4 linked regions of the Arabidopsis thaliana genome follow. The protein of the gene in region 1 interacts with the protein of each later gene in a pairwise test. Each region holds a gene or a part of one and is shown in the gene's direction. Other genes may lie near its edges.

Evidence for each region.
Region 2: the proteins of YAB3 (region 1) and BIM1 interact in binary tests that used the Arabidopsis thaliana proteins (3 or more experiments, as listed by UniProt).
Region 3: the proteins of YAB3 (region 1) and MYBR1 interact in binary tests that used the Arabidopsis thaliana proteins (3 or more experiments, as listed by UniProt).
Region 4: the proteins of YAB3 (region 1) and MYB51 interact in a two-hybrid assay, tested with the Arabidopsis thaliana proteins (one study listed by BioGRID).

Annotation. Positions count from the first base shown.
Region 1 is NC_003075.7:70,428-78,281, reverse strand, and holds YAB3 (Plant-specific transcription factor YABBY family protein), read left to right. Parts: upstream 1-2,705; 5' UTR 2,706-3,192; coding exon 3,193-3,306; exon of another isoform or gene 3,307-3,393; coding exon of another isoform or gene 3,394-3,414; coding exon 3,415-3,585; intron 3,586-3,854; coding exon 3,855-4,014; intron 4,015-4,574; coding exon 4,575-4,623; intron 4,624-4,758; coding exon 4,759-4,834; intron 4,835-5,214; coding exon 5,215-5,292; intron 5,293-5,403; coding exon 5,404-5,478; 3' UTR 5,479-5,737; downstream 5,738-7,854. Other genes in the region: AT4G00170 (Plant VAMP (vesicle-associated membrane protein) family protein), read left to right, coding at 6,197-6,248, 6,389-6,462, 6,543-6,624, 6,710-6,825, 6,911-7,072, 7,142-7,183, 7,272-7,349, 7,437-7,550. UniProt on the Arabidopsis thaliana protein: Involved in the abaxial cell fate determination during embryogenesis and organogenesis. Regulates the initiation of embryonic shoot apical meristem (SAM) development.
Region 2 is NC_003076.8:2,604,144-2,613,670, reverse strand, and holds BIM1 (basic helix-loop-helix (bHLH) DNA-binding superfamily protein), read left to right. Parts: upstream 1-3,420; 5' UTR 3,421-3,576; exon of another isoform or gene 3,577-3,756; 5' UTR 3,757-4,099; coding exon 4,100-4,136; intron 4,137-4,267; coding exon 4,268-4,369; intron 4,370-4,785; coding exon 4,786-5,187; intron 5,188-5,288; coding exon 5,289-5,391; intron 5,392-5,475; coding exon 5,476-5,612; intron 5,613-5,697; coding exon 5,698-5,812; intron 5,813-5,909; coding exon 5,910-5,979; intron 5,980-6,076; coding exon 6,077-6,172; intron 6,173-6,283; coding exon 6,284-6,621; intron 6,622-6,722; coding exon 6,723-6,834; intron 6,835-6,926; coding exon 6,927-7,016; 3' UTR 7,017-7,653; downstream 7,654-9,527. UniProt on the Arabidopsis thaliana protein: Positive brassinosteroid-signaling protein. Transcription factor that bind specifically to the DNA sequence 5'-CANNTG-3'(E box). Can bind individually to the promoter as a homodimer or synergistically as a heterodimer with BZR2/BES1.
Region 3 is NC_003076.8:26,849,348-26,856,506, forward strand, and holds MYBR1 (myb domain protein r1), read left to right. Parts: upstream 1-4,674; 5' UTR 4,675-4,761; coding exon 4,762-5,679; 3' UTR 5,680-5,965; coding exon of another isoform or gene 5,966-6,571; 3' UTR 6,572-6,659; downstream 6,660-7,159. Other genes in the region: AT5G67290 (FAD-dependent oxidoreductase family protein), read right to left, coding at 1-408; CYP81G1 (cytochrome P450, family 81, subfamily G, polypeptide 1), read right to left, coding at 5,966-6,571, 6,660-7,159. UniProt on the Arabidopsis thaliana protein: Transcription factor. Represses the expression of protein phosphatases 2C in response to abscisic acid (ABA). Confers resistance to abiotic stresses dependent of ABA. In response to auxin, activates the transcription of the auxin-responsive gene IAA19.
Region 4 is NC_003070.9:6,386,080-6,392,947, forward strand, and holds MYB51 (myb domain protein 51), read left to right. Parts: upstream 1-3,319; 5' UTR 3,320-3,685; coding exon 3,686-3,821; intron 3,822-3,935; coding exon 3,936-4,065; intron 4,066-4,154; coding exon 4,155-4,947; 3' UTR 4,948-5,307; downstream 5,308-6,868. Other genes in the region: AT1G18560 (BED zinc finger and hAT dimerization domain-containing protein), read left to right, coding at 34-914, 991-1,926. UniProt on the Arabidopsis thaliana protein: Transcription factor positively regulating indolic glucosinolate biosynthetic pathway genes.

The DNA of each region.
Region 1 (7,854 bases):
CATTCAGGCGGTGGAAAAATTCAATAACACTTTTAAAAAAGATTTTTGTTCAATAGGTTTTGACCTGAAAATACTTAGAACAAAAAATAACACAAGAGGGAAAGTGCCGTAAAAGTAAAAAAAGAAAAAAAAAAAGAGAGAGATCATGTCGCTGACATACTATACATGCCTAGCTAGCTCGGTACATTTATATATAATGTTTGTGTGTAAGGTAGATTGAGATATATGAATGGTCAAATCGGAAATAAAACAGTATATGTTCTTAAATAAGCTTCTCCTTTGTTCAACTTTTTTGCTTTCATTTCCGTTACATGATTTCGCGATTAATTACTTTTTATAATTAGTCAACTTCGACGCCTTGTGTCGTCCTCGATTTTAATGTTCTGTCTTTCTCTGCATTCATAGTTTATCTTATTTCATTTCATATCCTTACTTCTTTTTTCTACAAACAATAATTTCTAGACGAATTGAAACAAATTTCCAAAACTTTATGAGTATATATAGGATATTTTTAGTGGCAAAGGACGACTTAAATTGTAACGAAAAGAATTTGAACTTTTTTCCATTAGTCCCTACGATGAATATTTCATCCTATAGAACATCATATGAATTGATTACTTAATGAAGTTAAATTTTTGAAAACTCTATTAGGGACAATGTCCCACATCGGAAGTTGAGTAGGATCTTAAGTGGTATATATAAGATATGAGCCTCTCCACCTATTGCCAATTAGTTTTACGTTGGAAGCCCACAGTCTGATATGGTATCAGACCCCGATCCGCACATACTCAACCCGATCCACATCGGTCCGGCCCAATACTTGGCCCGCCGATCCATGCCCAAACATATCGAGATCAATGGCTAGAAGAACCATCATCTCGAGGGGGCGTATTAGGGATAATATCCCACATCGGAAGTTGAATAAGATCTTAAGTGGTATATATAAGATATGGGCCTCTTCACCTATTGCCAATTGGTTTTAGGTTGGAAACCCACACTCTAATATGGTATCAGAGCCTGATCCGCACATACTCAACCCGATCCACATCGGTCCGGCCCAATACTTGGCCCGCCGATCCATGCCCAAACATATCGAGATCAATGGCTAGAAGAACCATCATCTCGAGGGGGCGTATTAGGGACAATGTCCCACATCGAAAGTTGAGTAGGATCTTAAGTGATATATATAAGATATGAGCCTTTCCATCTATTGCCAATTGGTTTTATGTTGGAAGCCCACACTCTAATAAACTCAATACAAATACTAAAGTTGCAAACAACTATACTATATTTGCTTGAAGTTCTATTGTGATAGGATTTTGACTTACAAAAATCATATTCTATGTCTACACTATATATTGTGAAACCGGATAGCCATAATATTTACAAAAACTTAAACTAATTTCAGATATAAATAAATTTAAATTTCACTATGACCTAGTAATTATCACGAACAATTGGGAAGTTACCACAAAATGGTGGTCCTGTATTATGGAATTTAGCGAAACCACACACTTGCGGGTAAAAATAATGATGACAAAATGATATACATTGGAATGTAGAGAAAGTATATACAAATACTAATAAATAGAAAAGGGCATGGAATTGACGAGGATCGAGGGAAAGTGTGGTGTGGCAGAAATGTTATTAAGTGTGAAAACAACTGATGAATGAGCCTTTGCTTAATCACTTCCATGCACAAGTCCCTTTCCTCTTCCTCTCTCTCCCACTTCATCGAACTTTGCGTCCTTTAAAGAAAAGAAAAAACAAAACATTTTTCATCCAATTGAATTCAAACCGTAACCAGATTAGATTTAACTTCGTTTATTTTACATTATCTTCTTCTTCTTATTTTGCGGAGAAGACTTGTACAATGACCTCAATACGCTGAAGAGTTGGATTCACTGCGAGTGTATATGTGCATATAGAAACAAAATATCTAGCTATATGACCACTTTTAACTCTAAATATGGGTGTAATATGCCAAGGACTTTCTGGAGATCCACCACAACACACATTCAAGTTCAAGTTCTGCTGCTTTTAGGTCTATGAAAACAACACCAACCTTATTTTCATATTGTTCTCTCTTTATCTCATGCATAAGTATATTTTCATATTGTTCCCTCTTTATTTTCATGCTTTTAGTTGATATTTTTTTTGTTATTGTATTATCATTAGTGCGACGACACAAAGTCACAAACCATGTAACAAAATGCTTAACCAAAATAGAAAACCTTAACAATTCCAATATATTTTCTGTTATTGCATTATCAATTATCATCAAATTTTTTTCCACTGTTGCATTATCATCATTGCGACGACACAAGGTCACAAACCATGTAACAAAATGCATAACCAAAATAGAAAACCTTAACAATTCCAACTTTAACATGTGAATTAATATTATCTTAATTTTTGGATGTTCGACATTCAAATAAACTCCTAATTAAACCCTATAGATATGGTTAATCTTCTATACATGTGTCACGTACGACACTTATTAGCCAAATTGAAGTTTTGTTTTTTCCGCAAATATATAAGCGGTTTAAATAGTTGGTAAAAAAAAAAAAAAGTTAGCATGTTTGTCGTATGTACATGTTTGATGCTGCACAAATCTTGTCGTTATAAAACTTTGAAATCTTTATATCTATTATTCCTCACCGATCGGCTACTAATTCAATGGTACTTGATAATGATAATTAGTCCCAAAGTAGAGTTTTTATCTGATTATATAGAAACAAAGACTAGTTCCGGTTTGATATATAGAAGAAAGAAAAAGGATGGATAGGAATAATAAAGAAGATAAACCGGTTCAAAAGGTAGTAAATGAGAATGCAGGTATGCAGCTTATCTCTACAATGGCCTCTTCATCACATGTCGCCAATTTGTTTAGGTACAGTGTCTCTTCATATTTACATAAATAGATATCTCTCTCTCTCTCTCTCTCTAAACCACATCTTCCTCTCCACCGTTCTTTCTCTTCCTTCTCTCTCTGGACTTCAACTTCTGGAGAAGTACAAGACATTTATAAAGTACTGCTCATCACCCAACACTAAACACAATTGTCAAAAGGGTGTGGTGGAAGGAGAATCTACTTCTATCTGAACATCGATCAGTCATATCTTTTCAATCAAATCAAAGCCCTCCTCTCTCTCTTACTCCTTTTTTGTTTTAAATCAAGAAAAAGACTCCATGTCGAGCATGTCCATGTCGTCCTCCTCAGCTCCAGCTTTTCCACCGGACCACTTCTCATCTACGGACCAGCTCTGTTACGTCCATTGCAGCTTCTGCGACACTGTCCTTGCTGTAAATTTTGGATTATTCTTATATCTCATCTCAATATTTCAAATTTATAACTCTAGCTAGGGTTTCACATGAATTACTAGTTAATTAATGTGTGATATTAATTGGCAGGTGAGTGTTCCTCCGAGTAGTTTGTTCAAGACGGTGACGGTCAGATGCGGCCACTGTTCGAACCTTTTGTCGGTGACCGTGAGCATGAGAGCTCTTCTTCTTCCATCCGTTTCCAACCTTGGCCATTCCTTTTTACCTCCCCCTCCTCCTCCTCCTCCTCCAAATCTTTTGGTACATCGGTTTCATTCATCGAAACAAATTAGGGTTCTTTCATAAAAAAAACAGAGAGTAATAATTAGGGCTTTTCTTCTCGAGAAACGCAAAATTGTGAAACTCAATCCAAAAATGTTTAATTTTGTTAGCATCCCGGGATAGATCTAAGTAGTTTGGCAATGGCTAGTTAACTAGGGTTTCTTTCGAAAACATCATATCAAAGTAGTTTGGTTTGATTAGTGTTTTAAGTTTTTTTTGCCAATTAGTTTGCTGATTTCATTTATTAGGAGGAAATGCGAAGCGGAGGGCAGAATATAAACATGAACATGATGATGAGCCATCACGCTTCAGCTCACCACCCGAACGAGCATTTGGTTATGGCGACTCGCAACGGAAGATCAGTGGATCATCTACAAGAGATGCCTCGGCCACCACCAGCCAATAGACGTAACCTTCCATCTTCTACTCTTTATTTCAACATCTTCATATATATATATATAAGAAAACAAAAACCCTAATTCACAAAACCTTATCCATTCATTTCTTCAACCTTTTATATATACACTCCAAAGAATCTCGTTTGTTTATAATGAATTTATAAGTTTTGATTTCATTTTTGTTCCCTCGGTATGTGACTTCTCGCATGCACTTTTTTTTTGGTCAGAAAACAATTTCGACAACAAAAGGAAAATTAATAAGTGATGTGTTTATCCCCCGGAAATCTAGCTAAACCTATAGATGCCAACTGATATAGTTTTGGGGGTAGATCGTAAGAAAGATAATGATGAAGTGATGATGATAACGAGCAAAGTGAGAGGGAGAGGGAGAGAGAGAAAGGAGGAAGAGTCGAAGAGTGATTGTTTTTTTTTTTTTAATTGTTTTTTTTTGGTGAATTTTTAGATTTTTTGGGGAGGCACAATAAAAACCAATAATGTTTTTTTTAACAAAAGGGTTTGATTTGGAATTAAAATTGAATATGTTCTGTTTGTTTGTTTGTGGAAAAGCAGCCCCAGAGAAGCGACAAAGAGTACCATCTGCATACAACCGATTCATCAAGTAATAAGTTTATTCCTTTGCTTAAAATGGCATAATTAAATTTCCCTAATTAACCATTTTACTCATATAATTAAGGGTCGATAGATGTGACAGATTTGATTTCATTATATGATATAAAAATAAAAATGTTGACAGAGAGGAGATCCAACGTATAAAGGCAGGCAACCCTGATATCAGCCACAGAGAAGCCTTCAGTGCTGCTGCCAAAAACGTACCATTTCTTTTTTTAATATATAAAACTAATTTTCTATATTGCATTATATCCATAATCATACAATCTCATTTTAGTCTTTATGAATTGAACCTAGCTAGATTATTGTGGAGCTACATTGATACTCACATTGCTTTAAATTAAAAACATAAAACAAAATAGTTACCGTAATAATCCATAATTCATAAGCTTTATCCAGCATACATTAGCTAGGACTAGCCTTAGGATCTACGATCTAGGGTTTCAGTAAAGTTCCCTAGCAGATATTTTAGTCTGGCTTTGTATTCGTATATTTTTGACCAAGTTTTTATGTTATGTATAAGATAAATACACATTAATGTTAAAAGAGCTAAGTATATGATGTAATATGTATGAAACAGTGGGCTCATTTCCCTCACATACACTTTGGACTCATGGCTGACCATCCTCCCACGAAGAAGGCTAACGTGCGCCAACAGGTTACTTACTACTACTACACTATATTTATTTATTCAAATGTATATAATCAGGAGCATGCATGCATTGATCATCAAAACATAATCGAGATATTTTATTTTGGTGTAATGAAGGAAGGAGAGGATGGGATGATGGGAAGAGAAGGGTTTTACGGTTCAGCTGCCAACGTTGGGGTGGCCCATAACTAGCTACGAAGACTTTCCCAATCTTTTGTAATCTTCAAAATGTGGTTACTTTCAGCTCAAACTTAACTTTCTTATTACTATTTTATGATATTTGATAATCGATCAGGAGACCTTTTTTTTTTTTCTTAAAGAAATTTTCGGAACTACTAGAATTTTCTCTTGGAATTGAAAATATATTGTTTTCTCAGTTGCCGTGTTATATATTTAATATCAAAAGCATGCAGTAGCTAAGCTAGCTAGGCTTTACCATACGTTAATGATACTGTCTTTTTCTCTTTACAATTCCATATTCGAATTTGATTTGTATATAACATATTGGGAAGAATCATCAATATGTATTCAGCTCAAAAGAATTCAACAAAAAAAAATGCCTATTATCAATAAAAATTCACTGGGCTTTAGAAGGCCCACAATAGTATAATGGATCCTTTTTGTTGGGCTTATTTCAGTCAGGGAACAATAGCCTTGATTTTGTTGGGCTAACCGCTAACGCATTAAAAAAATCACGGTCAATCGGTGATCGTCAAATCTAGTTACGTGGCATTTAATATTTAAAACTACAAAATTTACCAGTCTTGGCTCAAAAAAATATTTATTCACTTTTCTTCTTCTCTGACCAAAATCAAAATTTGTTCGATTCTCATTCTTCTTCTCACAGTCGTAAACCCTAAAAAAAAAACAGAGAAATCAAATTTCAATCTCGAAGGATCTACAAAGAAGCATGACGACCGGAGATCTCGTTAATATCCATCCTACTGAGCTTAAATTCCCCTGTAAGTTTTTTTTTTCCGATTGATTTGATCCCTCTCGGATTCATTTCACCTTTTTTACGTTTTCGATTCTCCGAATTGAACCGTCGTTGTTTGTTTGGGTAACCTCTGTTATAATTTGTGTTGTTGTTGGTGGTGAGAAGTTGAGTTGAAGAAACAAAGTTCGTGTTCGATGCAATTGACCAACAAGACAACTACTCAATGTGTCGCTTTTAAGGTCTTTTACATTCTCTTCTTACAATTCTGTCTTATTAGTACACATTGAGAGAGTGTTGATGTTAATTGAGAGACACACAGGTTAAAACAACCAATCCTCGCAAATACTGTGTTCGTCCTAACACTGGTGTTGTCTTGCCCGGTGATTCCTGCAATGTTACAGGTTCTTAAAACCATTTCTTCTTTCATTCAAAAGCTTTGGTTTTTTTTAGTCAACAACACAAAAGATGATTGTTGTTTTGTTTCAGTGACGATGCAAGCCCAGAAAGAGGCACCACTTGATATGCAATGCAAAGACAAGTTCCTTGTTCAGACTGTTGTTGTCTCTGATGGTACTACTTCCAAAGAAGTCCTCGCTGAAATGGTTTGCACACTATATGCTTTTTTAAAGGAACTCTCTTGCTTTAGCTTCTTCTTCTTCTTATTATGAATTGGTTTCTTTGTTGCAGTTCAACAAGGAGGCTGGTAGAGTGATTGAGGATTTCAAACTGCGAGTTGTTTACATTCCTGCTAATCCTCCTTCACCTGTCCCTGAAGGTTCTGAAGAAGGCAACTCTCCTATGGCTTCCCTCAACGATATTGCCTCTCAATCTGCCTCACTCTTTGATGACGTGAGATGATGATTCATTTTGTTATCCAATGTTAAGAAACCGAGTGTAATATGCATCTTCTTATTTCAGGTGTCAAGAACGTTTGAAGAAACAAGTGAGAAATCTTCAGAGGTAACAACATCACAAATCTTTGTCTTTTACCATTCTCGACATCTTGATAGTTAAGTTTCACCACCAACATCCTCTCTCATTCGCTCAGGCATGGTCTATGATTTCCAAATTGACGGAGGAGAAGACTTCTGCTACTCAACAAAGTCAGAAGCTCCGTCTCGAACTGGTACGCGTTGACCCCAGTGCACTAAGTGATCTACTTGTTATTTGTGTAATCTTCATAAACGAATACATGTATATATTGTGTATTCAGGAAATGCTGAGGAAAGAAACAAGCAAGAAGCAGTCGGGTGGTCATTCCTTGCTCTTGATGCTGCTGGTGGGTCTGCTCGGTTGCGTGATTGGCTACTTATTGAACCGGATATAAACGCCATGGGGTTAGCTTCATCATCCTTTTAATCATCAAATCTTGCAAAGTTCTTAAGATTTTTGACCAGATTTTCGTAAAATGGAGGTGGTTTTTTTTTAAAAGTTTCATATTTAAGCTGTAAAATCAGTAGCTGTAGCACAGGAACAGGTGTGATTTTGTGGCAGGTTTCTTGTTATTGATTTAAACACACTTTCGAGTCTGTAGTAAGATCTCAAGAGTCGTTCTTATGATTGGAATTAAATCAGATTGATTAAGAAAACAAACGCATCATACAAAGTAGAAAGAAAACAGTTACATGTTT
Region 2 (9,527 bases), on another chromosome or scaffold:
TAAACGGTGAACATATATAACATTATATTGTGGTTCCTCTTAACCAAGCTAGTTCAAAATATATATCATCTTCAACTCATGTCATCGGAAGATGCTATATCCAAACCCTAATCAATAATCATCTTTGATTTTTGCCATATCTCACGCAAGTTATATTAGTTAATTATCCCAATAATCTTGCAAAGATTCGTGTTCCGATCAAAGAAACAAAAAGATTACACCAGAAACCAGCATCATGAACACTTTTTTTTTTTTTGTATATTTATCATAGATCATAGATGGTACATAAAAACTGCAACATTCAGAAATTATTTTTTATTTTATTTTTGTTTTGTTTTGTTTGTCATCATAACTCATTTCCAGTACAAGAATTAAATTAGTTGCACGTTGAAAAAAAGAGTTAAAAAACAATATATAGATCAGTGATCTGGTTCAGTGCATTTAATGGTTAGAATTTCTCTTTTTTCATATCAAAATTATACGGTCCGTTATTTTCAAAGTACATAGTTTTTGTTCTTGTTTTCCCCTTTGCTAACAAAGCATTTTAACAGCTTTTGTTTTAAGATAGCTTTTATATCTATAATTAGCAAATTAATTTATATTTTGAATAAAAAATAGTGAAAACGGGATAGCGTAAAAAAGAAACGTGGGACCCGCAATAATCGAGAGGTGTGAGTTGGCCACGTGATGGATGGGGGAGGCTGTGAGGTAGGCAGCCAAAAATACCCCAAAAGGTTTCGTTATCACGTGATACGGCGCGATTTACGCGGCGCAACTGCCACGTGTCCTCTTAGATCCAAAGTCTCGTACGTAGCCTTCTCCTTGGTTAAAAACTTCATATTTAATTTCAATGTATCATAATTAGTTGTTTAATCTCGTGTTTTAACCCTAAGTCACATGATATCTAGATAGATAAACTATTTGTTAACTGATCCCTAAGAGGATTCCTGTGCAAATGTACAGAGGAATGTCCGCATTACAAATACATTTGTTTTTCTTCAAGTCCAGCTTCTTATTCTTCTTTTCTAATTGCTTTATGATTATTTAATCTGTTACTATACTATTAAGAAAATAACAATGATTAGAGACAACTAATAGTCCTCTTTATAAGGAAAAAAGAAGTAAAGAAGACAGCTAATTCAGATGAGATGCTCTCCCACACACTCTTTTGTGTATGCATAAAGTTTCTGTAATTAATGTTTTATTTAAAAACACTTTAACAACAAAATAAATAAATTAAGGGTTTATATTTTTTTAATTAAACTTCTGAAAAGAGAATGTTTGATAAACTGTAATTCTGTAAGAAATCAACGTAGAGAGCATTGATATCTAACATTAAAACCAAAAAAAAAAAAATGTCATTGATATATAGTTATATACTTATATGCAAAGAGATGTTTAATATTGTTCACCCTTAAAATATTATCAAATCTTGATATTAAAACAGTTGTTAGCGTGTGCATGAACCTGGTGAGTAGTTGTGATGAGATCTCGCATTGATTTACTTCAAATTGGATTAAATATGTAAAAATATGTTTAAGAAATCTTGTGACTCCGCGAATGATTTTCTCCTATACATTATTCTAATTAATTCCATGGATATGTTTTATAATATGCGTAGGAAATTAAAGAAAATATGTTTTGTATTATATAAGTTATTTTGATCTTAATCTTTTGAAGTTGAAACCTACTTGATATGCTTCTTCTTATTTTGTTAACTAACTCAAGTTGAATGATTATTTATTGATTGAATTACGTAAGACGGGAAGAACATGATGTGCCCAACCGAACCACGAATGGTTAAGGATAGGTCGGTTTGTGGCATATCAATAAACAGTTTATGAGACTGAATGGAAACCTTCTTTCTTCGATCGACTAAAACCCTTAGCCTTCCAAGTTTCTAGTCAAGAAGTATTGTTACTAAATTGCCCTTGATGTTAATGTTTTCGAAAATCTATTTATGTTTCTACAGTGTTTCTCTCACGTGAGTTGCAGAGTCAGTTCACGTGGTCCCACTACATCATGAAAACGACGTCACACTAACCTCTTATTCGCCTTTCACTTGAATTGACCATTTCGTTTTTATTTACTTTCCTTGATTTCTTTCTTTCTTCTCATCTAAACGTGTAAAAATCTTAACAATTCCATTTGCTTTTTTGTTTTTGATTTTAATGTATCTAACCAATTACTTGTGCTCTAGAGAAACCGAATCTCGAATAACAATAATACATTTCATCAAAGAACCACGAGATTGCGAGTGATTTTAAATCAATATAATACAATTCATGGGGTTAATATAAAATACAGAGAATAAAGCGTGTTTAAGCACAACCTAACAACTCACGAGACAAAGTGGAAGGCATGTGGGGATGTGTAATTGTTTTTGCTCTTTCCCTATTTTGTACAATTTTTCACTTCATGTGATCCAACACTATTTAGCTATAGTTCCTTTCTCACTATCATCTCCATCTCTGTTTTCAATTTATTATTTCTATCTTCAGATTAAACTCATGACTACTGGAAAGATGTAGTACTCAGAAACTAACTAGATTGTAAGCATTAGGGGAGGGCAATAAATATTACTCGTAAGTAAATTTAATTCTTAACTACTGAAAATCTTAAGTAATTTAATCAAGTATATACGTACTTGCAAAAACTTGAAAGCCATAACTATTTTCGCTTGAATACAAATGGACTAAAGATATTTTATCATTTTATTTTTGGTTTTAAGAGATGACTTTTTTCGAATATATAATTCAAATTATATACAGTACTAGACATATGTTAGTTTAGTAAATGCTAACAAGACTTTTAAAATAAGTACTGTAATTTGTAAGTCGTCTATTTGGTTTACTTATAAGTTAGTGATTTTGTAACAAGTGGCATTCAACTAAATATAAAAATGCGCTTAGCTCACATGATCAGGTTCTTAACTATGGGTTTTAGACAATTTGTTAAAGGCGGAAGAGCTGTCTTTGTTCCACCTAATGTCACATACATTACATATATCTCCACTCACACAAATACATAGACGCATACACGTACGAACAAAATCATACTTGTCCCCCTATATTCCATCATCTATAGCAGAATTTCTACTACTAAATTTACTATTAAATTGGTAATTGTTTGCAGCCAAGCCTAGCTATCAATTAGTAGTACGTATCTTTGTCAAACTTACCAATTACCTTCCAATTTACCAATTAAACAAGTCGTCTAGTTATGCGCATTCAGTACACACGAACATAGACCACGTAATACAGTGGTCTGATTACATTATTTACATGGAGGTTTTTATAAGCATGATTTTCTAAACGGAGACACAAAATCTTCTTTATTTTATTTTTCCTTTTCGCACTGTTCATTTAGGTTTGGTGGTATTAGGCTATAGAAGAATGTACGATGACTTGAATATCAGATACATGAGATTCTTAATTAATCATACATATCTTACCATTTTAATTAGTTAACTGATTTCCTTTTGATTGCATTTACTTCGACGCATGATAGTAGTCGGCGTAATTTCAACAGTACCTTGACACGCCAAAAGCTTCACGTAATTTGCTGTCGAAGAAGGTACGCTTCTTAGCTCAAATCTAATCCATTCGTGTTCTTTAGAGATTTGACTTGGATTCTAGTTTTTGTATCTCCATGTTCATTGGTTGACTTGAATTATGCGAAATTGAGTTGGTTTGAGCTATGAATTCCGCTGAATTATGGTTATTCTCTTGAATTTCTACCCAATTCTGATGACAGATCTATCGATTCCACGAATTTGGTGACTTCTGCCGATTCTCCCGTTTGAATTCTGTGGAATTCGCTGAGAAAAGTTGCGGCGGAGGCTGATTTAGGTTAAATCGAGCAGAATTTGACCAAATTCGAGGATTTTTATCGGTAAAAAGATACAGAGAAAGCATAATTCAGCAACTTCAGAGCTCAATTCCGCTTCTTCAACCATCGAAAACCACAATATCTCTTGAATCAGCTGCTACAAGTCGCAGATCTGAGCTGCTAGCCAATTTTTGCGATAATTCCCGCGCACAGATTAGTAATAGAATAATTTAAAAAGAATTCAAAAACCGTCGAAGCTCTGTCGTTCATGGAGCTTCCTCAACCTCGTCCCTTCAAAACCCAAGGTAAACACCATTATCAGATATTATTGTTACCAATTCCTTTATTTTATTTTAAAACAGAGTGTTTAGTTTCTACAAGATTCATAATTTTAAATTTATGTATTTTTTTGAATTTTGATATATATATTAAGAAGAATTTCGCACAGGGAGAAAACCAACACATGATTTTTTATCGCTCTGCAGTCATTCAACCGTCCACCCAGATCCAAAGCCAACACCACCACCTTCTTCTCAAGGTATTTTTTTTTACCATTTTACCCTTTTTTCTTCTTTAAGATTCTCTTAAAAGGGGTCACGTTTTTTTCGCGCGTGCATCTGATCTGACTTTAAGACGAATCATGGATCAAAATGTTGCTATTTTGTTGGGTCCTAATGGGCCCATCTGTGTTTAAAGCCCATGGAATTTTGGGACCGTTTTTTTCTTTCTTTTTCGTCTACACATGTCGTTAAACCTTGCCTTCGATTAAATAAATATCTTTCAACCCTCATGATGTTGATCCCTAGAATTGCATCACATAAATAACAAAATGTTGTTAATTACTATAAGCGTTTAAATGCATACAACTTGATGTATAAGAAAATGTGTATTATCTAGGGATTTACTTCTCTAACATATAGTTTATGTTTTTAATTTTGATGGTACGTGAAGCAGGTAGTCACTTGAAAACCCATGATTTTCTTCAACCGTTAGAATGTGTTGGTGCTAAAGAAGACGTAAGTAGGATTAACTCTACCACTACAGCGTCCGAGAAGCCACCGCCCCCTGCTCCACCTCCACCGTTGCAGCACGTGCTTCCCGGTGGTATAGGGACTTATACGATTAGCCCCATTCCTTACTTCCATCATCATCATCAGAGAATTCCTAAGCCGGAGTTGTCACCACCAATGATGTTCAATGCTAATGAGAGAAACGTTTTGGATGAGAATTCTAACTCTAATTGCAGCTCGTACGCCGCTGCATCAAGCGGGTTCACTCTGTGGGATGAATCTGCTTCTGGGAAGAAGGGACAGACAAGGAAGGAGAATAGTGTTGGGGAGAGAGTAAACATGAGAGGTAACAAGAAAACTTGAATCGTGATGTTTATTTAGACTAGTTTTAAAGTAGTATTTAGAAATCAATGGAATGATGAAATATAAGTTTTTTTGAATGTGTAGCTGATGTTGCAGCAACTGTGGGACAATGGCCAGTGGCGGAGAGACGGTCCCAGTCTTTGACAAACAACCATATGAGCGGTTTCAGTTCTCTCTCTTCCTCTCAGTTAGTCTCATATCTTCTCTTTTTTATATAACTCGGTCTATGGACTTTAAAGAGTGATCAACTAAAGTTTTACTTTGGTTGCAGAGGGTCTGTGCTTAAGAGCCAGAGCTTCATGGACATGATAAGGTCAGCAAAAGGAAGTTCACAGGAAGATGATTTAGATGATGAAGAAGATTTTATCATGAAGAAAGAAAGCTCCTCGACTAGCCAGAGCCATAGAGGTTTGTATTGTCCGAGATTCCACCTATATGATATCTAAAGTCTAAACAGTAACAGCTTAGGATCTGATTGATTGCTTCTTTACAGTGGATTTGAGGGTAAAAGCAGATGTGAGAGGCTCTCCTAACGATCAAAAGCTGAACACACCTAGGTCTAAACATTCTGCTACAGAGCAACGGAGAAGGAGCAAGATCAATGATAGGTAAGTCCTGAATATGTAGCAAAAGCCACCAGAATTGGTTATATAGCTTAGCAGAGTGGAGATACTAATCAAACATTGTTAATGGATCCCTCTGCAGATTTCAGATGTTGAGACAACTAATACCTAACAGCGACCAAAAGCGGGATAAGGCCTCCTTCTTACTAGAGGTATAACTATACTCTTTTGGCCGAAAATTTTGTGACAGTAAGATTCAATCACATCTGCTCCTAATCTCCAATTTTTTTTTTTGACAACTTCATACAGGTTATCGAGTATATTCAATTCTTACAAGAGAAAGCAGACAAGTATGTGACCTCTTACCAAGGATGGAATCACGAACCTGCGAAGCTATTGAATTGGGTAAATATAATCTCACATTTTCCGACCATACTTCATTTTTATTCCCCGGGTTGGAAACTGAAAACAAACAAACCATGTAATGTTAACCCGTGTGATCCATTTACATTATAGCAGAGTAACAACAACCAACAGCTAGTACCTGAAGGAGTTGCTTTTGCTCCAAAATTGGAAGAAGAGAAAAACAACATTCCGGTTTCGGTCCTTGCAACTGCACAAGGTGTTGTTATTGATCATCCAACAACCGCGACGACCTCTCCATTTCCATTGTCGATTCAAAGCAACAGTTTTTTCTCTCCTGTGATTGCGGGTAATCCCGTACCCCAGTTCCACGCAAGAGTCGCATCATCAGAGGCTGTAGAGCCAAGTCCGAGTTCCCGGAGTCAAAAAGAAGAAGAAGATGAGGAAGTTCTTGAGGGTAACATCAGAATTTCAAGTGTTTACTCACAAGGGTAAAACTAAAAAACTCTCTTTTGAATTTTGATCTTGCAACAGTTAAGTAAAAGTAAAAAATTATTAACCTTTTATACATTTACTTTTGTGTGTGGAGCAGATTAGTGAAAACACTGAGAGAAGCATTGGAGAATTCAGGAGTGGACTTAACGAAAGCAAGCATCTCCGTTGAAATCGAGCTCGCTAAACAATCCTCGTCTTCTTCCTTCAAGGTATCTTTTTCTTTACTTACGTTTGATTCAATTCAAACACATTTTCATGAGTTGGATCTTGATAGTTTATAGTTTTGTTCACATCTCGATAGGATCATGAAGTTCGTGAACCGGTTTCTCGAACCAGAAACGACAATGTCAAGCAAACTCGGAAACCAAAACGGCTCAAGACGGGACAGTAGAAGTTATAAAAACAAAACCCAAACACACAATCCGGTAAAAGTTAAACACCAAAATTGATTCCTCTGTTTTTTTCTTTAAATCATTTTATCTCAAAAAGGGATTATAATTTATTATTATAGTTATATCTTTGATTTTTTTCTTTTGTACATCCGAAATCCTGTTATATATATCTCGTGGGTCCATAATCGTATGAGACCTAAGAAGACTAGGGCGACCCGGTTATGCTAACCGCATTTTAGAACATACTCTTTTGAGGAATATATCGTTAAGGAAGGCTTTCAAAGTTTTCTGGAAGCGTCCAGTGTTAAGTGAAAACATTTTTCACTCTCTTATATACTTGATCATCTCACACTTTTTATATTTGTTTCTTCCTCTTACTTTGTTCTATGGTTTTCAATGTAATACTAGATATCTTTTATGTATTTGACTAAACCAAAGCGCATGAACGATTTTGAAAAAGAAAAAGAGAAACACACTTAATTATAATGCCAATCAAAAGCCTGTATGACCCAACTCTCTAGGACAAAGTCTGGAGCACGGCAAAAAGATTAAATCAAGTGTACTTTAGCAACAAGAGCTATCTTGTACTATTATTTATGCAATGTTGTTAGCAAAATAATCAAATGTTATGTGGGGTATTATAAGATATGCCATTGAAAAATATATCAACTAGCATTTAATTACTTTTATTTAAAATGATGAAAATCATATCTTCTATATATTCAACTTCAATACTTGATTTTCCAAACTATTGAAGTAAACGAGATCCCATATATAATGGGATAAAACAACAAACATCAATTACGTTCTTTTAACCATAATTTATATCCATAAACAACAAACCGCCTGTATTTCCTCGGACACGAAGAGGATTTGACACGGGAAGCTTCGTCTTCTCCCTCCTCGTCGTCGCCTCCAAAACTCAGGAGTTTCTTCTTCAGAGACGCGGTGGTAGCATCTTTTACCGTGGAGTTTCGTCGCCGTCGTTGTCTTTATCAATTATGATCTTTCTCGAACTAGAGCTTTTACAGTTAGGGTTTGAAACTTTGACTGGAATTAGAGCAAACTTTGGTCGTGATTGTAGTATTTTTTTAGTTTGGAATGTTGTTTATTATACTAGATATTAATCTGCAGTATACCGCGGACCTATATTTTTATTAAATAAAAAATAATTGAATAATTTTTAGGATGATTTAATAAATTTATGTTATTGTTTGATTTAAATGTATAATTCACCGCGAGACGAAATTTTATAACTCAAATTTTAAAGTTTTAAATTATATTTGTTTATTTTGTTAAATGTTTAATATTGTATAATTGTATATTGATTGTTGTTTCTCAGATTTCACCCGTAGTACACCATCCCATATTAATATCGAATCAAACCCGTCAATTCTAGGATTTCACCCGTGGTAGTATTTAATTGTATAATTATATTTTAATTGTCATCGTAGGATTTCACTCCTAATTCTATCGCAAATTATTATCAACCCAAACCAGTCAATTCTAAAATATCACCCGTAGTACACCATCCCATATTAATATCGAATCAAACCCGTCAATTCTAGGATTTCACCCGTGGTAGTATTTAATTGTATAATTATATTTTAATTGTCATTATCAGATTTCACTCCTAATTCTATCGTAAATTATTATCAACCCAAACCAATCAATTCTAAAATATCACCCGTAGTACACCATCCCATATTAATATCGATTCAAACTCGTCAATTATAGGATTTCACTCGTGGTAGTATTTAATTGTATAATTATATTTTGATTGTCATTCTAGGATTTAACTCCTAGTTCTATTGTAAATTCTTATCAACCCAAACAGTCAATTATAAAATTTCACCCGTAGTATAAAGTTTAAATATTTATAATGTTTAAATTTCTTATAAAAGAATCAAAATGTGTTTTAAAAAAATTAAAGTTTTAAGTTTTTTTTTTTTAATATTGTTAATTTTGTTTAGTGTTTAAGATTATATAATTATATTATGATTGTTATTATATGTTTTTTTCCATAGCATACTATCCCATGTTATTATCCACTCAAACCCGTCACACCATATAACCTCGTCCCGTGAAATTAAACACAAATTTGTCATTTTATTATAAATTTCAAATATTTATAAAATTAGAAACTTCAAAAAAGATTAATATTGACCCAAACTTCATCATTGAATTTTGAGTGTTATATCTAAGATTTCTCTCGCAGTATATCGTCCCGTATTAATATTTTTTATATTGTTTAAATTTCTTGTAATATTTAATTTATAATTTTTTAAACTTTTTAAAGTTTCAATTTTTTAAAATAAATAACCCTAGTAAACAAACCATTTTAATTTTGGACACCTCATAAATCAAGTTTCATGCTCATTCGTAATCGAAATCATTTTGGTCCTTTTTATAGTATGGCTCTTGACCATTGTCCAATTTTTTTAAGCGATATGGGACATTCTAAAATCGTAATTATTATCCACCCAAACCCGTCCTACCATATAACCCAG
Region 3 (7,159 bases), on another chromosome or scaffold:
GGGTTTTGATTCCGTCACGGTGACGCTAAGAGTCGTGAGTGCTCTGTATCCGTACGATTCGACACCGTTTAGCTCCTCAGCGAGCGATCGATGGAGTTTAAAGCTCGCGCGTGCTAAATGCGCAACAGGACTTCCATCGCACCAATCGAAAGCGAGAAATCCACCGGCTTTACCGGAAGCAGCGCACGCGACGGCTGATTTCTCGACGAGAGTGACGGCGATTCCTTTCTTGGCGAGGAAATAAGCAGTACAGACGCCGATTACTCCACCGCCGCATACAAAGACCCGCTTCGAGGTTTCTTCACCGATTTGTTTTTTAGCCGCCATTGATTTCGATGAGTTGGAGCAGATCGTGATTGTTCGTCGGGTTAACACCGGAGGGAATAATAACGATGAGATCACCGCCATCACCGAGATGAGATAGATGATGACTCACCGAGTCCACACGTTAGTTAGAAATTATTTATTGGGCTTAGTTTCTTTTTGGGCTGATCTTTTGAAGCCCATTTATTGTATAATCTCTACGCTATTGTGTGTTACTGTGTTTCCTATGATATTTAGTAGCTGATAAGTGATAACTGATATTCTCTGTATGAATTTCAATGAATAGTTTTCTGATTCTAGATGTTTTAAGAAGTTGAAAAGGACTTGTTGAAATAAATTATGGGGGAAAAGGACAAATGACCAACTAACAATCAGATAGGCCATTCCAAAATTGGGCTCCACCACTTTGACGACAAAAGCCCATTTATAGGGCGGCTCTACTTCGGCCTTTCATCAACCACACATACACTCCTAATGATTATTATTCAATATATTTTTAGTAGGTACTGTGATGTTGTTAACTTTCAGTTAGATAGACCCGCCGAAACTTTTTCTTATAATATTACATATAATTTCGCTCTGTTTATAATCATTTTATTCCTCTACTTAAACAGAAGCTTCTTTCATTCTTTGTGTTCATTGAACTTGTTTACTATACGGAAAGTTTCTGCAATTCTATAAAAATATATATAAAATAATGAACTGTTTATAGAATTGTACTTACTTTTTTGGTTTTAGTGAAGCAAATTTCTATTTAATCACACATTTACTGCACTCTAAAAAGGTGAAAACCTAAAATGTAATCGTTCACACATTATCTTCATGTTCAAATCCGATGGAATATTTATCGATCCAAGAGTTTCAATTAATAATTTGCAACATAATCTTCTTATGCCTTTCTTATTTAGCAAGTGTGATGGTCGATCCATTGATCATTGTTCATGAAAGTTGATGATGTGGTCGATATTTTCTCCACATGAGAAGTATTGTTTTGAAAAGAATATTTATCATATACTACTATTATTGACAGAAAAAACAGTGTAGAGAGTATTGTTAATATTAATTAAGTCAAAAAAAGCCGGCGGCCAATGTGGGGAAAAAGCTTCACACACTTTCATGTAGTAATCTGTCCTTTTGTTTCTAGCTTTATATTGCCCTCGCTTTTGCCCGTTCATGACTCTTATGATGCTTGGTCGTAAAACGTGATTCCATGCATTATCTTATAGAGTTATAGTATATAGATATTATCAAAATGATCAAGTTTTTAATATCCCAATTCTACATTTGAAATTTTTTAACATTTGATTTACAAAGTTGACGATAAATTTCAGATTTGAAGACGAAATAAAGCAAATCTTTAAATAAGTTTTTTTGGAAATATCATATGATATCAGAATTCTAAAAAATCCAACAAATCGGTAAGTTCTAACATATAAGATGAAATAGTACTTGGTAGGTACAAAAATTAAACGTTTTGATTCCACACATACAAAAAGAAGAAGAAAAGAGTAACTTTTTATTTGTCGTCCAACAAAGAATCGCTTTTCAATCAAGCTTTAGTGAAGGTGTTAGGTGTGTGTGGCTTAAGCATATACATCAGAAGACCAACAAAATTTATCTTAAGCACGAAGGTCACCGAACGTAGTCGTTTCAACGATGACCGTACCATTAATGCAGATTTGTAGTGCGTGTGGATATATACATGCACACGTGTGGAAGGTGAAGGTACAAAATGTGCATACGGCTTAAGGATAAGCGAGAACACGGAAGGATATTTTGTAGCAGCATCTTTCTATTCTATGCAACTAAGTAAACGAACCACATGCACCTGTTTTCTTTAATTTATTGCCTTTGTGATTTTTTTTGTTGACACCATTATGTTTTTTTTTTGTTTGTAAACCATATAATTAAGTAGTTTCCCTAAACCGTTAACAATTAATACATTCTATAATGTCGAATAAAAAGAAAAGGTAATGCAAGTGGAAGAATATCTAAACACGTTAGTAGACCAATAGCAAAATTACAGTTGCTAGCTTACACGACAGGAGGAACAAGACAAGAGTAGTTTTGCCTTTGTTAAGAATAATTAGCATGACACGTCACTCAAACTTACACGTGGAAGGATAATTCATGGACACGTGGACATACTGGAAAACAGCTGTTAAATCTTTGTCCGGTTATCGTAAGTTTTTGAATTTTAAAACTGTATTTAGCCGAATTAGGTCATGTTCCACGTGCCTTTTTTTCTGCACCACTATCTCTTTTCCACAAGAGGGGCAATGATTTTTTGGTCCAAAAATATACAGTTGTAATCTTGGACGGTGTGTCTTAAATAAAATAATATATGGACGGTGTTTTCTTTAATGTTTTCTATGTTCATATGAACTTCTCGGTGGTCGTTTCAATCACAAAATTTATCATACCAGAAAACAAAATATTTTCAATAATTGAGGCTGTACGTTGTGTATTTTAGGTTTTTTCTTTAGATTGTTGCATGTTATATTTTCAGTTTACTATATGTTGTGATGATTATTCGTTACAAATGTTTTCAAAATGTCATACTATAGTAGTCATTTATAATAGATATGAAAAATGATCACAGTTGATTTGTTTTTTTGGTGGACTACGAATAAAATCGTTTTGGTAATTGTCTAATCTTCGAGTGAGTAAGACACCGTCAATCAACCATCAATATCATCAATCAAAACCATTATTGATCTATTTTTTGGTTTAAGGAAAAGTTGGTAATTGTAAAACGACTTCAATAAAATATTTAAAACAAGGAGACCAAAACCGACACTCGGACCATTGATAATAGAAACAACGAGCAAGGTTATAGTAGTATAGTTGAGTCTCACAAACGAACACGTAAACCCAATATAATAACTACGCAAGGTTACATCTAGAGCTTATTGTTCCCATCACAATAACCTCTTGGCATTATTAATTATCAAATTCACTCAAAGTATTAAACTCCTGATGTCTAATAGATTATCAACAAATCGACAAAAATGTAGATATATAACTCAAAAGGTATAAATTCAAATGTTTGGTGGGGTTACGTAAAAACTTGAATTATTAAGAACTAACAATACTATAGTTTAATTAAAAGGAGAATTATGAACCGTTAGAGGGAAGGTTAGGGAGCGTGCATGAACATTACCTGACGTTTACCGACCTGATTCGTACCGTACATACCAGAACAAAGAGCTTTTAAAAACCCGCGTTTTACGACCGACACGTGGCAGTTCTTAAATGGATGACAGTTAGTGTTTTATTAATTGTTTTTGTTTGATTAACAAGTTTTATACAGCCTGGCTGTTTCTATTCGTATTTTCGATATAATAATTAAATATATTTCAGGAAACAAAGGCAGTGATGATTTTGCGTTCCAATTCGGCAACCTATGTTGTCGTTTTCTGCCACGTCAAAACCTCCTATCTTTTGTTAACCGCACATTTTACATCACGTTTCCTAAACCGAACATTAATATCTAACCATTTTTATACATTCACTTAATATCGCTCACACGGTTCTTTGTCAATCCCATTTTAATCCAGCTTCGTTTCAAATTATTGAGGTTTAGATCTTTTTATGATCATAGAGCAACTATATATAGATTTAGTATTGTCAATTTGTCATGCACTGTTATATGCATGAATTAGGTGTTTGTGTGTTGTTTAGTAATTAATTATACCTTCTTAGTGACAATTTGTTTTCTTTATTAGTAATGAAATTTGTGGTCAATAATTTTGATTAGTTTTCAACCCGGAAAATCGGTTATATGTAAAGTAGATATTATCATAAAGTTTTTATGTGAAGTGCTATACAGCCTGGCTTCGCTATTCTAAAGTCAAGACTAAACATAAAAATAAATAAAAACTGTCCTTACCCAAACCTAACCGTTATCATCTTTTTATTTTTTTCTTCAGATATTTCTTTTTCATTTTTATTTCCCCTATAAAAAAATTTAAATTCACCTCAAATTGTGCGAATATTATCATGGCTTTGCTAGTTGGGTTTCGTGATTTTGTCTCTTTAACTTCTTACTTTCGCCACGCGCTTAAATGGCGCGTGTACTCACAAACTCATACTTTGAGACTCGACTGATCTCCACGCTCAACTATACGAAATTGCTGATCTTGAACAAAATTATTACGAAAACGACAAAAAAGACACATCGACGTAGTCAGGCTTCGACGCGTGTCCACTTACAGCTGTACCGCAAACTTTGAAAAACCGCTTGCGTGGAAGAAGCGTTGCCCATGACTTCTCCACCGTCTTAACCGGTTTCCGGTTATCCTCCTCTCTTAAATCTCTGTATAAATAATTTTGTCCTCTCTTTAGTTTCTCGAACTTGTTTTTGGTTCATCTCTCAAAACCAAAATCACTAAAGAGGAGAAGATTGCTAAAGTTTGATAAAACATTCCAAAATCAATGGCTGATAGGATCAAAGGTCCATGGAGTCCTGAAGAAGACGAGCAGCTTCGTAGGCTTGTTGTTAAATACGGTCCAAGAAACTGGACAGTGATTAGCAAATCTATTCCCGGTAGATCGGGGAAATCGTGTCGTTTACGGTGGTGCAACCAGCTTTCGCCGCAAGTTGAGCATCGGCCGTTTTCGGCTGAGGAAGACGAGACGATCGCACGTGCTCACGCTCAGTTCGGTAATAAATGGGCGACGATTGCTCGTCTTCTCAACGGTCGTACGGACAACGCCGTGAAGAATCACTGGAACTCGACGCTCAAGAGGAAATGCGGCGGTTACGACCATCGGGGTTACGATGGTTCGGAGGATCATCGGCCGGTTAAGAGATCGGTGAGTGCGGGATCTCCACCTGTTGTTACTGGGCTTTACATGAGCCCAGGAAGCCCAACTGGATCTGATGTCAGTGATTCAAGTACTATCCCGATATTACCTTCCGTTGAGCTTTTCAAGCCTGTGCCTAGACCTGGTGCTGTTGTGCTACCGCTTCCTATCGAAACGTCGTCTTCTTCCGATGATCCACCGACTTCGTTAAGCTTGTCACTTCCTGGTGCCGACGTAAGCGAGGAGTCAAACCGTAGCCACGAGTCAACGAATATCAACAACACCACTTCGAGCCGCCACAACCACAACAATACGGTGTCGTTTATGCCGTTTAGTGGTGGGTTTAGAGGTGCGATTGAGGAAATGGGGAAGTCTTTTCCCGGTAACGGAGGCGAGTTTATGGCGGTGGTGCAAGAGATGATTAAGGCGGAAGTGAGGAGTTACATGACGGAGATGCAACGGAACAATGGTGGCGGATTCGTCGGAGGATTCATTGATAATGGCATGATTCCGATGAGTCAAATTGGAGTTGGGAGAATCGAGTAGACAAAGTGAGATTATTAGGAAACTGTTTAAATTGGAGAAGAAGAAAAATGCTCTGTTTTTTTCTCCTTTGGATTAGGCTTAAGAATTTTGGGTTTTAAGGAAATGTATAGAGGAAATCGAGTGAACAAAGCTCGAGAGCTGGGGACGTAGTGACGAAGACGAAGATCAAATTTCTCTTAAGCTATTCAGGAAAATAAAATAAATTTTTATTTATAACTACGCTTAATGATGATAATAGATCAAATTAATACACAAAGTATCACAAAGTGAAAGATAAATGATCCAGTTAAAGAACAAGTTTGTCGAGGATTGGTAAAGACTTGCATTTGGCAACTAAAGGCACAGATTTGGGCATGGTAAGACCCTTTCCTTCCGACATGTCAACGGCAACGTCATTGTCTCTCTCCCAATCGAAACACTGGATCAATGAGCCTAAAGCTAAGCTCAGTACTAGTTGGGCCAGGCCCATACCAGGACATGCTCTCCTACCGATTCCGAAAGGCAGAAACTTACCACGATGGGTCTCTGATTCAAACCTCTCTGGTTTGAAAGTTTCTGGGTCATCCCATACATTTGGGTCTCTCTGAATAGCCCACGCATTGATAAATAGCCAGGTGCGACGTGGAATGTCAAATCCAGCGACTTCACAGTCAGTGGATGAAGCGTGTGGGACAAGTAAGGGCGCCGCCGGAAACAAACGAAGAGTCTCAGAGATCACATTGTTGAGATAGGGACACTTGCCAGTATCTGATTCCTCAAACACACGCCCTTCTTTCGAAACCTCGTTTAGTTCCGTTTTGAGTTTCCTTAAAACTTCCGGATGATTTAGAAGGTTAGCCATAGCCCACTCCAACGTCACTGCGGTTGTGTCCGTTCCAGCAAGCAACATCACCTGCAATGAATCCTTTGAATCTTTGATGAATCAATCTTGATCACTCCTATTAACGATTCAAAATTATAGGAATTAAAAACTCATGTACCTGTACGAGCCCTTTGATGATATCATCAGTGTAACATTCAGGTTCTGATTCTTGAAGAGACAGCAAACGAGTGATCATCGTTTTCTCAAGCTCTGCTTTTCCTCTGTTTTTCCGATGCTCGTCGACTAATTTCTGCATAAACTTGTCCAATTTCGAAGCGAGTTTCTTTGCTCTCTTTCTGTATCCATCAAGATCAAAGAGCTTCAGAGTCGGGAGAAAATCTCCGACATAATTAACACCAGCGAAATCGAACACCTCCCTAATCAGCTTCCGAACTTCCTTAGTTTCCTCGTCTTCCTCTCGTTTTCCAGCGACCATGCTCATTAGGATGTTATACGTAAGCCCATAAAGAAACGGCTGGAGTTTCAATCTGACACTGCCTCCTGATGTTACCAGTTCCACGTTGATCTTCCGAATCATAGCTCTCACTTCGTCTCTCCGTATATCCGAAAAGTCTCTGAGACGAGCGGTGGACAAGATATCTACGGCGCAGAAACGGC
Region 4 (6,868 bases), on another chromosome or scaffold:
TTTTTGTTCTTGTTCTGTTTTCCTGCTCTTAAGGAAATCTTGGAAGGCATCTGACTAATCGACATCCAGGCTATGATAAGGCAGCAGCAGATGTTGTCACCAGCTCATCAGTACCACAGACACCACCGGCTGTTGTTAAACCGTCACAATCCCAGTCGAAAGTACCACAACTCGATTATGATCATCTTAACTGGTTAGTTCTCAAGTGGCTTGCTTTGTCATCACTTCCTCCCTCTACTGTAGACGAAACATGGTTGGGAAACTCCTTCAAATTTCTTAAGCCATCCATCCAGTTATGGCCGGCTGAAAAATATAAAGCCATACTTGATGAGGTTTTCACAAGTATGCGGGGAGATGTGAAGACAACCTTGGAGCATATCCAGTCCAAAGTTTCTGTCACTTTAAGTTTCTGGAATTCATATGAAAACATTTTTTATATGAGCGTAACGGGTCAATGGATAGATGAAAATTGGTCGTCTCATAGGTTGCTGCTCGACATATGTCGGATTCCTTATCCCTCTGGGGGTTCTGAGATTTATAACTCCCTTTTGAAAGTCCTTAAGACATATGCCATTGAAGACAGGATTCTATGTTGTACACATGACAACAGCGAAAACGCTATTCACGCTTGTCATAGCCTGAAGGAGTACTTTGATGGTCAAAAGGTCTTACCTTTCTGCTACATTCCCTGTGCCGCTCAAACTCTGAATGATATTATTGATGAGGGGTTAGCAACTATAAAGCCCATTATCTCTAAGGTTAGAGAATTCACACAAGAGTTAAACGCGTCCACAGAGCTATCTGATGATTTCATTCAGTTGACAACAGCTTATCAAGAAGGCAACTGGAAACTACCCATCGATGCTTCATCTCGTTGGAGTGGCAATTACCAGATGGTCAACATCTTGTGCAAGGTAAGATGTCTATAACTTTGACCTGTAAGCCATCAAGCTCTGAGATATTTATATGTGATGGCTTATATTGCTGCAGGCTAGCAAGTCCTTGGACTCGGTGATTAGGAAAAACGAGGATGCTCTAGAGAACAGAATGATGTTGAGTTCTGTAGAGAAGAACGCGGTGACTATTGTCCACAATTACTTGGATTTGGATTCATTTCACAAGACCACTAACGATATGTGCACGAACAAGGATCTCACGGTTGGTCTAGCACTGCTCTTCATGGATAACATATCCGAGATGATCACAACTTGCCAGAAATCATGCCACAACCCAGACTGGCTAAGAACTTGTGCTGAGAGCATGGCCCAGAAGGCCAGAAGTTACAACACTCAAGTGTGCAACGTATTCACTTACATTACAGCCATTCTTGACCCGCGGATCAAAACAGAGTACATTCCAGAGACGATTAATCTCGAGAGCTATATAGATGAAGCAAGAAGTCATTTCATTCGTAACTATTCTTCCTCTCATTTCACATCTTCAATGACTAGCGGGTATCGTCCTCAGGAGGTAGATGAAGGAGGAGGAAATATCTCATTTGCAGAGGAAATCGCTAGAAGGAAAAGAAGAGGAAGTATGAGTAACAATGTTGTTGATGAACTGACTCAGTACTTATCAGAGTCTATAGTTCCAATGCAGACTGATGTGCTTGATTGGTGGAAGGTAAACAGTGGAAGATACCCGCGACTTTCCAACATGGCTCGGGATTTCCTTGCGGTTCAGGCGACTTCTGCTGCACCGGAAGAGATCTTTTGTGGTAAAGGAGAAGAGATTGATAAGCAGAAGTATTGCATGCCTCATGATAGCACACAATCTGTTATTTGTATCAGATCATGGATTGAAGCTGGTATGAAACTGAAGTACAAGTGTAGTGAGATTGACTATGAACGACTAATGGAGTTAGCTGCCACCGTGGCCGCTGATAATTCTGCCGGAGGTTTAGAAAAAATTCAACAACATAGGTGAGATTATTTTTTAGTATTTGTACTAAAGAACTACTGTAATTTAGTTGTCATACTTTTAGCATGAATCATTGAATTTAGAGTTGGGTTGATGTAAACCAAGCTGGTTAGCTTTCTTCATAACCGTATGTACTTTCATATCATATTAGAGAGAAAAAAAAACACAATGTTGACTAATTAATGGGTTCTGTCTAACTAGAAAAGTGGAAATTAGTTGTACGAAAAAAGAAAATAGCTTATCTCTTTCTTTGTACCTTAGATTTTTCCTTGGTATAATGGATATCGATATGTCCAAGTCCAGTGTTTGAGTGACCAAGTTGTTGCTTTAATTTAATCTAGTTCAAATACGACTACTTTTGTGTTGTACCTCTCTACCTTACCTTCCTCGAATTTTCAATTCGTGTGCTAGTTTGCCAATTGTTTCTTTATAATTTTGTCGTCTCTATGATTGTTTAAGCATATTTAAATATTTGAGAGAAAAAAATACTAAGAGTTCAGTCGTATTTTGAAAAGTCCTCGCACTCCAAGTTTTAAAGTTGAATTCATTCTGTCATGGAAACGTACCTTTGTGGTTTTTCATTTCGATAGACATTTTTTAACTCTTCTGATAAATTCAAAATGTTTTTTTACATTGGTTAAAATTTGTTGCCAATTTCAATAAAGCTTTTTTTTTACTCGTTATAAAATTAAAAACTTGCTGAGAAATTATAGTTTCATATATACTTTGGACCGACGGTCAATACCAAAAAACTAAAATAAAATTTTGGTCAAGAATCGGGTCAATACAAAATATCTCCAAAGATCGAAGAGAAAGTTCAACAGGATTTTAATTTAATTGGTGTTCCGGACCTGCCGGCGCCGTATTATAATTCTTCAATAAATTTTATATTTTGGATTGCATAATCAAAACTATTTGCATAGCAGACATAGATTTCAAAATAAATTGATACGTAATTAGCTATTTACATAGGCAAGACAATTTTACGTTACATATTTTGCATGCTTGATATTCATTCTTTTTTTTTAGCAACCTTTGCTATATTCATTCTATTTTTTCCCCTTTTTTTGCTACTATCAATATCATATCAGATGTGGCGGTTCTTATGCATGGGATTATGAAAAATGATATTATATAATAGATGTCTTCGTAGTATTTTTTTATTGACAATCAAAATAAAATAAATTAGTTTAAGAAAGATCAAAAGTCTAGTGTCAAAATGTCCACTGACAAAAGTTAGCAGTTTTTCTTTTATGTAATAATCCGATTATAAAAAATTGCGTTAAGGAATCATAATGAGCCATGTGTCAGTCATATTTAAACGACGACGTTGGCAGCAGCCACACGTACAGCCTCAGGCAAGCATAAATAGAGATGGGCTCTTTCCTATAAGTTTCCCACTTTGCAAAGTGTAACACAAACAGTTCTCTTTAGAGAAAAAAAGATTCTCTCTATAAAACCTTCTCTTTGTGTCTCTCTTTGTGGTAAGAAAACAGAGCAACTAGATCTCTCTTCTCCTCTGCTCGTTCAATGTTATAACGATCTCGAGTATCACAAAAGAACAAGATGTCTATTCGAAGAATCTACCGATGTCTGAATTCTTTAATCAAAAGATCTTGTGCTCAATCTCTATGATCATACGCCCCATTTCACACTTTGTTTCACCTCTCAGTTTTTTTTTTTGTGTTTTTTTGTCCCTCTTTGTTTCACTTGAGAACAACCCCCTTTGAACTCGATCAAGAAAGCTAAGTTTGAAGAATCAAGAATGGTGCGGACACCGTGTTGCAAAGCTGAACTAGGGTTAAAGAAAGGAGCTTGGACTCCCGAGGAAGATCAGAAGCTTCTCTCTTACCTTAACCGCCACGGTGAAGGTGGATGGCGAACTCTCCCCGAAAAAGCTGGTATGTATTATTTTTTATTATGTTTATTCCGTCATGTTTGAATATTCAATGTTGGACCTTTATTGGTCATTATTGCTCAATTATTTTACTTAAATAATTCTTCTAATTGGATAGGACTCAAGAGATGCGGCAAAAGCTGCAGACTGAGATGGGCCAATTATCTTAGACCTGACATCAAAAGAGGAGAGTTCACTGAAGACGAAGAACGTTCAATCATCTCTCTTCACGCCCTTCACGGCAACAAGTTAGTCTCTCTACCTCTACATTTTATACTTATTTTTTGTTTGCATTAACATTTACTAATATTGTAATCTTATATGTGGTTTTAATCAGATGGTCTGCTATAGCTCGTGGACTACCAGGAAGAACCGATAACGAGATCAAGAACTACTGGAACACTCATATCAAAAAACGTTTGATCAAGAAAGGTATTGATCCAGTTACACACAAGGGCATAACCTCCGGTACCGACAAATCAGAAAACCTCCCGGAGAAACAAAATGTTAATCTGACAACTAGTGACCATGATCTTGATAATGACAAGGCGAAGAAGAACAACAAGAATTTTGGATTATCATCGGCTAGTTTCTTGAACAAAGTAGCTAATAGGTTCGGAAAGAGAATCAATCAGAGTGTTCTGTCTGAGATTATCGGAAGTGGAGGCCCACTTGCTTCTACTAGTCACACTACTAATACTACAACTACAAGTGTTTCCGTTGACTCTGAATCAGTTAAGTCAACGAGTTCTTCCTTCGCACCAACCTCGAATCTTCTCTGCCATGGGACCGTTGCAACAACACCAGTTTCATCGAACTTTGACGTTGATGGTAACGTTAATCTGACGTGTTCTTCGTCCACGTTCTCTGATTCCTCCGTTAACAATCCTCTAATGTACTGCGATAATTTCGTTGGTAATAACAACGTTGATGATGAGGATACTATCGGGTTCTCCACATTTCTGAATGATGAAGATTTCATGATGTTGGAGGAGTCTTGTGTTGAAAACACTGCGTTCATGAAAGAACTTACGAGGTTTCTTCACGAGGATGAAAACGACGTCGTTGATGTGACGCCGGTCTATGAACGTCAAGACTTGTTTGACGAAATTGATAACTATTTTGGATGAGTGAAACTCATAATCGATGAATCCCACGTGACCATGTCAATATGATGTCTATGGATATGTTACCTTGATGATGTTGATGGTAATAATAATAAATAATGATGGTGATGATGACCATGCATGAATCATGAATGTAGTTCGTGTTGTCACATATGCTTGTGTTTTTGTGTTTTTTTTTTTTGGTCTGAAGTGTGTTGTTTCGTTGTAAATGGATTATAAATGGTGATGTAATAATTATAATGTTAACGAGTTGTTAACTTTAGTACTTTTATTGTGTTGGTTATCAGAATTTGTATCCATCCGAATATGAGATTGCTTTATTTTGAAAAATCATTCATTAGCTGCTGCTGCTGCTAACTACTAGTACCATTGCTATTTTAAATTTTAATTGGCAGTATTCCACTATTAGGTCATCTTCATCTGTAAGATACTTTAAAAGGTTTTAAAATAAAATAAAAAATTACTGTAATTTAATTTTGTAATTATTTTTTTTTAAAAAAAATATTCAATTATAAGCAAACACTTATAGAAATAGTCTTTCACTGATTATTCCAAAATTTCTCAAGAAACGTTTCTTCATTTTTTGTCATTCTCTCTCCTCATTTATTAATTATTTATATTATCTTTATCAAAAGAAACTCTAAAAATTGTATGGATGGAGATGCTCTGGTTTATTTTATGAGTTAGGGCTAATAGATTGAGCAGATTGGTAAAGAAATATATCCTCAACCAGTTTTGTATATTAAAAAAAAAACCAACGATTAACTTATTTTGTGACTTAAATCTTTCATTCTCTAATGTATATAAAATTCACCCTATCAACATACGAATAATATTCAGCAATGAGACCCACATAAATTTAAAGCAAGCGAGAGGATCATTCTTTGAATGTTCCGAGGGTTAAAGATAAGAAGAAGTTGATACCAAAAAAAAAAAAAGGATAAGAAAAAGTGCATTATGATCCCTAACCTTTCGAAAGCACCATGAAGAAAACAAAAGCAAAAGCTGATTTGTGATTTGTTTCAATATTTTAATATTTCAAAAAAAGGGTGAATGAATTAATTTGCTTTTCAAAGATAGTGTTTTCTCTATATAAATAAAGTGATTAGAAAATAAAAATTATATTTCCAGGGACAGCCTATATCTTATTATCATGTCTGATTTAAAACTATAGGTAATGAAAAAAATATTACATCGTTGGCTTTTTGCCCAATTGTTGGTTTGTAAAAATAACAATTGTAATACCCGTATGAAAAATGAAAATTTTCTGAATATTTGGACTTCTGATCTTTTGGTGATTGTTAGAATTTAATTATCATACGTAGTTACAAAGAGTGGTAGTTAATTTCTGAATATATATTTACAATTTTCTTTTACCATCTATAAATTATATACACGTATATTATATTGAAATTCAGATTACAATACGCTAACAATGTTTGAATAAATCAATACTTCAATTCTATTTTTCTGCGTGAGGATGCCTACTAAGATAAAAGACATTTTGATGTTTATAGTCCAATATCATGATTTGAGCGTTGACGTATTCCCACGATACTATACATTTGTATTTCAGGTACGGTAATTAATTTGATCGTTTGTTTATTCAAGTTTATCTTCAGTAAAGTAACCCTTTTGGGAATAAGTGGGGGATTCCATGGATTCCATGGTATATTGCCATATTGGAGTCTTGGATTTACCCGAAAATTTTCGTGTTGACATTTTTGGAGATGCTACTTATTAGATTCTCCCATCTGTTCATCAACACTGTTAGCGCCGTCTTATCAGATTTTGTGTACGTGAGACGTGTTATGGAGATTCATCTAGATGACTAGATGTACATGTTGACAGGAACGAACGATTCTTACTTTTGGTCTTTTTGAACTCTTCAGATATATGTAAGTCGCTCGTTCTGCTAGGTGAA